Linked DNA regions of Arabidopsis thaliana. The protein of the gene in region 1 interacts with the protein of each later gene in a pairwise test. Each region holds a gene or a part of one and is shown on either strand. Other genes may lie near its edges. The genes, in order: SAUR19 and AT1G26660.

Region 1 (3,395 bases):
CTATTGTTGTAGTCTGTATAAACAGAGACTGCTCTGTTTCTAGCATTTTTCATGCGAGCCACGTTTGCTTATTCATATTCAAAAACGGACAAAATCAAGCAGAGAATCACAATCAAGAACAGAACTTGCCAGCCATTTGCTTATTACTTCTCTGGCTTTTTATCATGAGATCCAATGAGAAATGTTTTGGAGAAGCTCAAGGTTGTGAAGATGATGGTGTAGGTGGCCTTGTTCCATGGCCGTTGGTGTTGAAATATGTCTCTTTATGTCTTTGAATTTTCCTCTGTCTGACAAAGAATGGGCGTGTTTAATTTTGAAGGGTGTTACTGATGCTGGTGAGTTTGTTTATACGCCAATGAGTGTGTATGAATCCTTCCATGTGGTGTATTTTGATCCAAAGAGAAAGAGTATTAGAGTAACCAAAATTAAAGGAATTGCAAATGACCTATATAGACGACTTAAAGGGCTCAGACTCGATTCTCTCAATGATCTCGATGTTTTCCCAAATAACATTGAGAGACTCTTGTTGTTGTAAGATCATTAATGGCTCAATGCTATTAATCACTTATGCGATATTAAGCTTCTTTGATTTCCTTAGGCTTTTCTTGTCATGATTTGTGATCATTCCTATGGTTTTACTATCATAACATGTTATAGAACAATTAATGTGGATACTGGATACTGCATGCAGACTATTGCATAAGATCCGTAAAACCCGAGACTGGTCTGTTCCTAGCATTTGTCAAGTGAGCCACGTCTCCTTCTTCAAATATTAAGATCAGGACGTACGACAAAAGCAACCAGAGAAATCACAACCAAGAACCACAAGCAAATGTAGCGAACTCAAACCCTCATGAAGTCTAGTTTAGCTTATCGTTGCTCGTCTTTTGTATCCACATTCATTTATCACGTTAGCATCTGGACGACAAAACCATCTAAACTCTCTTCTTATGTGTCCACTCTTACATCCACAAGTTTCAGAAGATTTCCGAGAGGCTTTTAAATTCGCTCAGGGAGTGCTAAAAAGGGTTTCTTGTAGTATACGAAACTCTCAAAACATCAATTCTAAGATGTGAGAAAGTGAAAAAAAATTGGTTATTAAGTGAGTGTCTTTACTATGCAGGATCATATTGATATACATTTTTGGTTATATTCCAAATATAGATTTTCATAAAATAATAGTTTTACATAAAATAGGTGTTGAAACTGTCCTTTTGCTTGTAGCCTCTACAGAAAAGCCGATAATCTTCTTTGAACTCAAGAGGCCTCTGAACAAAGCCATTTCTTGAGTCTGGAAAATCTAAATTTGAAGCTTCTGAGAAAAAGTTAGATGCTCAAAATTTTGAGGTCTGGATTGCTTCACTACTTGGTGAAGAGTTGGTTCTGTCTCTGGATGTATAAATAGATTGATAAAAGACTTCAAATCACCCTGAAACCATTCAAAGTAGGGGTGAGACATACACAAAGATAGTTTCACATGGTTCTGTTTTTTAGGTATGATAGATGACAAGTTGACAACGGAAGCTAATGAGCATTATCATCACTTCACAAGGGTCTGTCTTCTCCATGTCTGTATAATAAATGAAGAGAAGAAGTGAGGTATTCAGTCTCTTTTAGTTTTCATGTGTGGATATAATCAAAGAACAACTAGAGAGTGACATTGAATTGTTGTTCTGTTGTTGAATAACATTCAGGTCCCCACTTTAACTTCTTAATAAATCCATTTCGACTGCAGAGATTAGAGTACTATAGGACAAAGAACCAACCACCTAATCATCACAGAACCTGCTGTCTTTGTTCTTGCAAATATAGGGCACGTCTTATCTCAGAAACATTGAGAAAGCAAGCCCTTGTGAAATTTCACATGGAGATTATTTAAGTAGATAAATTTCATTAATGCATCTTTTCCAGATGGTAAAGACAGAACCATGTGAACTCTTGCTCTAGTCTGTCCCACGCTTCAAGACCACAGTTTCAATGACTTTTTCAGAGAAGTTTCAAATCGTTCATTGATATTTCTATATATACACCCATAACCCCATTATTTCTATCATCAACCAACAACAAGCATTCCAATAACTTGAATCTTTTCATACATCTTCAAGAGCTTCATAATAATTCAAACTTCTTTTATTTAAAATAAAATAAAAATGGCTTTCGTGAGAAGTCTATTGGGAGCAAAGAAGATTCTAAGCCGCTCCACCGCAGCAGGATCTGCGGCACCAAAAGGGTTTCTTGCGGTGTACGTAGGAGAGAGCCAGAAGAAGAGATATTTGGTGCCGCTCTCATACTTGAGCCAACCGTCATTTCAAGCTCTGCTCAGTAAATCCGAAGAAGAGTTTGGGTTTGCTCATCCGATGGGTGGCTTAACGATCCCTTGTCCCGAAGATACTTTCATCAATGTGACTTCTCGGCTCCAATGAAGATGATCCAACATTTTTTCCTTCAGTTAGAAATAGACTTATTCATTGTAAATACATGAGCTTTTTTCTCTTTCTTCTTGAAAGAGTTGTTCTAAAAGTGTAGAAAGTGAAATACAAAATTAATGTTATATACAAACTTCATGTCAATACATTTTTGATCGCTCATTGAAAAAGAAAGACGACACCAAATTCATCAATCAAAAAACTACTCTAATTATAGTTTCATGTTGATTAAAAACAATTAAGTGGAACATCTAACATCCGGATCCGTGGCGCAATGGTAGCGCGTCTGACTCCAGATCAGAAGGTTGCGTGTTCGATTCACGTCGGGTTCAATCCCCCGAACTTTATTCCGGATATCTTTTTGTTTTACCTGCTTATTTCCAATTTTTGCCTTTTGATGCACTACCCCCGGTTCGGGATTCTTGTTACTCTAACCGAGAATTTCAGATCCGGTTTTAGTATTTGTTTGCTACTCTGAATTAGACGGAAACAAATAACAAATGACCACTTTTAACTTACACAATTTATCAGTGGCTGGCTCTTACGTATAGTGTGGGGGTTACATTTAGTTGATGTCTCCAGTGACATTTGATTATAGTTTTCAAGATATTGTCAAGCAAAAAGGAAAAGAAATTTACTTTTGAATTCCAAACTTCTGTTTGTATTTTATTCTATAAATAACATTGCTTTCTCCTTCCAAATAATAAAGACAAGTATACATTGCCCAAAAAGGAAAACTATAGAGACACGCACTAGTTAGGGTTGATGTGGACTGGATCCGATCCCTTTCTTCAATGATTTATTGATACGTATCTGTTACGCTGAATATACATATATGCATGTTTCTTTTGGTATTTTAGAGTACTAATGTATATTCTATAGTTTGATCCCAAAAAAAAACATGTATAGTCTGTAGTATTTTTATTTTTTTAGCTAAGTTTTCAAACATGTAGCTTGTATAAAGTTAAT
Region 2 (3,926 bases), on another chromosome or scaffold:
GTGTTTTAAGGTTTCAGTTAAATTAGCGGTTTAGCTTCAAGTTCGCGATGGAGTAGAAGAAGATTACCTCCGACAAAAGCACGTTCACTTGTGCCACCGACAAAATTGGAAATCTTACATTTTTTGTTTTCTCTAATCAAAATTATTGTTGGAACGTAGACAAGATCCGTTCCAAGATTCGTCTTTTTTTTTCAATTTGATTCCTGGGTTATCTGAAAGATCTTCTCTTTGCTTCGATTTCTATCTCCGCTGCTTGTGAAATCAACCTTTATGGTATGTAATCTCGAACTCAGCTAAAACACACTTCACTCTCGGAAACATGGAGACGGAAACGAATCAGGTTTTACGGAAACCGGAGCTAAAATCATACAGTCACAAACAATTTCACTCCTCAAATGCGTTAGAGATCTTAAGAGAAACAGTTCGAATTCTCCGGTACAATCTTGGTGCTTTAATGTTAACTACTGCTGTTTTGATCTGTCCTGTCTCTGCTTTGCTCTTACCAAACTTTTTAGTTGATCAATCATTAGTGAATAAACTCACAGTGAAGCTTCTTTTAGTGGCGAAATCAAGTGGTCTTCCTTTGCAGCCTTTTGTCAAACATTCTTGTCAGAAATTCGCTGAAACTGCTGTTTCGTCTGCAATGTGTTTCCCTGTGTTTATCACTGTGTCTCTGTTGTCTAAAGCAGCTGTGGTTTACTCAGTGGATTGTTCTTACTCGAGGGAAGTAGTTGATATAAGCAAGTTCTTGGTTATATTGCAGAAGATATGGAGGAGAGTTGTGTTCACTTACGTTTGGATTTGCATTCTGATTGTTGGTTGCTTCACTTTCTTTTGCGTTCTTCTTGTAGCAATCTGCAGTTCCTTCTCTGTTCTCGGCTTCTCTCCAGATTTCAATGTTTATGGAGCTATGCTAGTTGGTTTAGCCTTCTCTGTAGTTTTCGCTAACGCGATTATAATCTGCAACACTGCGATTGTGATCTCGGTTTTGGAAGATGTTTCAGGGTTAGGAGCATTGATGAGAGCTAGTGATTTGATCAAAGGGCAGATTCAGGTTGGTTTGTTGATGTTCCTTGGATCAACTTTAGGATTGGCGTTTGTGGAAGGATTGTTTGATCACAGAGTGAAGAAAGTTAGTTATGGAGATGGCTCTTCGAGGTTATGGGAAGGACCTCTTTTGGTGTTGATGTATTCCTTTGTGACACTTATAGATTCGATGATGAGTGCAGTGTTCTATTTTAGCTGCCGAGTTTATTATAGTATGGAAGCTTCTAGAGGTGAAACTCAGCCAATCATGGAAACGGTTACGGTTGTGGATGCTGAGTAATGGTGCGTTGTGCGGATCAAACTCGGTGAATGGACATGGAAACGTATTAGCTGAAGAAGAAGTTGTATATCATCAAATGGGGTTTTATTGAGCACTTTTTGTTTCACTTTGAAACTTGATGCATCTTTAAGGTTTTTGTTATATATGGTTTCTCTGTTTACATTGTTTGAAGATTATATAGCATCCCAAGTTCGTTCATAGTTCTGCTCTTGTTTCTTTTTAGCCAGTTTGATTGAGTCTTGAAAATCTTGGGCGTAAAATAGTAAAATTAAAAAGTAGGTGGGCCTTTATGCAAGGTAATTATATTACAAAGGACTTGAAATTAAAACCAAAAGTAAGAACAAACCGGTTCGCATGGTTTAAATAATCTGTGCTCGAGCGGTCAAATTGTAAAACCACCAAATAATTCTTCGTCTCCCTCACCGTCGCGGCGTCGCCACTCGCCGTCACAACCACCGTCGTTCAACATCACTGTCACCAAAAGAATCACCGTCGTTCGGTCGTGACGTGTCTGGACCTATTTCATCTCTTTGCTCGTGACTCGTGAGTCAAATACTCTTGGACCTTTGCTGTTATCTGTACCTCTAATTTTGTGATTTTCAGATTCCTTCTCGTTTATCGAGTTGGATTCTCTGTATTTGAATGTATTTTTGATAGGGTTTCGTTTGGAAACCAATTTGATTCTCATATTTAAAGTGTAGTTACGTGGTTTGTGTTCTCTCTTGGGGATGTTCACCACCTGTTCGATGAAATGCTTCTACGTATTAGTTTGATGCAATTTCTGTATAGTTTCGACGCTCTCCGAGCTTGTATTTAGATATTGATGGTTAGGTGACTCTAGATTCTGAAACGAACATTTCAAGGCTCTAGAAACTTATTCTGGACTAAGTTTATCAAATAAACAAGGGGATGGTTAGAGCCTTAAGCTTGATATGTTTATGTTCGCATTGCAGTAATGGAGGAGGGACGTCAAAAAGACTTGCAATTGTTGGAGGAGATTATCGACAAAGGTTTGAAACAGAAGCTTGTACATGCAACTGCTTCACGGTATTTATATTTACTTCCTTTTCAGATCAAAATTAAAATTGTGAGTATGATATTAAAGTGTATGTAGGATTAGTTTAGTTTGTTTTCTTTGCATGCTATTCACTTTTTGTTTGAGGTTTCGATTCATTGTGGTCTCTGCATTTGTTGGTTTTGCAGGGACAAGATCTTTGAAGAACAAAAAACACTGTATCCTTTTGTATAGGGAAGACTCTAGCTTCTCGTGATGTGCATCATCTTGTTAAGCTGATCCTAAGTGTTTTGTTAGTTTCTCCCATGTCTTAACCCTATCAAAGATGACGGGTTCATTTACCAGTCAGTTTTTGACTTAGTTTTGTGTTTCTAAATCGAGAGGAACTCTTCTTGGTGTAGTTATTGACAATACTTTGCTGTTCTAGTGAAATCTAATTCGGTTGAAATATTCTTGTTTCCTTGACGGTTACTCCCACTCCAGCTCTGACTTGCGGAAAAACCTAGAAACTCTGGAGAAGAATGGTGTAAATAGTCTCAAAACAAGGGTCAACCTTGGTTCAGAAGTTTACATGCAAGCTGAAGTGTACGTTACTTATAGCTTTGGTTCTTTCGTTTAATTTTAGTCAAGTCATTTAGCTATGAAAGGTCATGCATTGTCTGCATACAATGAAATACACTGTCTCCATACACAGCTTAATGCAATTAAGAAGTGTGCTTTTACTGTGTTCTGTATGTTAGAAGCTAGTTATGTATTATTGAGCAGAAAACGTTTAATAAATGGGGATTAAAATAGGAGATGCTTTCTACCAGGTTTGCTTCTGATTTCGTTTCACTTGACTTGGGTGTTTGTTTGAGTTCAGGCCAGATACTCGGCACATATTCATGGATGTAGGCCTCGGCTTTTATGTGGAGTTCACACGGCAAGAAGCTCTTGACTATATAGCACAAAGGGAGGAAAGAACTCAAAAGTAAGAGAAATCTTTGCTTTTCTAGTTTTCTTGCTCCATGTACAAGGAAAATATGGTTGTATCATTGTATATGATGAATGAGTTCTCCGGTGGAATGCAGTATAGTGACTGAATGTTGATGCAATATAAATGTGGTTTTTTTTGTTTTTAACAGACAACTAGAAGAGTATACTGGTGTTATTACGCAGATCAAAGGGCGCATCAAACTGGTAAGTTCAAGTTCTTATCTTGCTTTGTGATAGTAGTCAATCATTTGTCTTATGAGGTTGAATTGGACTAGAAAATCACTATTGCGTAGGAACCCTGCATCAGACGGATATATGAAAGTGTCATCGGATAAGTATTAATGTTAAATTACCATTGCAGGCTCATTACCAGATTCAGCAAATACTCAATCTTCCTGAAGAGAATCCGTCATCCCGGCAACGTGCGTTTTAGTACACTACCTAGTGGAAAGTTGAGGATTTTCTCTTGCAGTCTTATCTTCTCGATTTGTTCTGCTTACTGTTTTGAGTTTTTAAAGCAGAGAATTAACTTAGTTTGTTCAATACTAACTCTTTCTCCGGAATGGACCAAACTGTTGGTGTTAGATAAACATATCGATTAAGCAATCA

What was found.
Region 2: the proteins of SAUR19 (region 1) and AT1G26660 interact in a two-hybrid assay, tested with the Arabidopsis thaliana proteins (one large-scale study listed by BioGRID).

The regions. Positions count from the first base shown.
Region 1 is NC_003076.8:5,962,061-5,965,455, reverse strand, and holds SAUR19 (SAUR-like auxin-responsive protein family), read left to right. Parts: upstream 1-2,050; 5' UTR 2,051-2,150; coding exon 2,151-2,423; 3' UTR 2,424-2,683; downstream 2,684-3,395. UniProt on the Arabidopsis thaliana protein: Provide a mechanistic link between auxin and plasma membrane H(+)-ATPases (PM H(+)-ATPases, e.g.
Region 2 is NC_003070.9:9,210,016-9,213,941, forward strand, and holds AT1G26660 (Prefoldin chaperone subunit family protein), read left to right. Parts: upstream 1-1,748; 5' UTR 1,749-1,870; intron 1,871-2,280; 5' UTR 2,281-2,282; coding exon 2,283-2,374; intron 2,375-2,489; coding exon 2,490-2,594; intron 2,595-2,825; coding exon 2,826-2,927; intron 2,928-3,204; coding exon 3,205-3,312; intron 3,313-3,466; coding exon 3,467-3,521; intron 3,522-3,678; coding exon 3,679-3,750; 3' UTR 3,751-3,860; downstream 3,861-3,926. Other genes in the region: AT1G26650 (Son of sevenless protein), read left to right, coding at 320-1,327.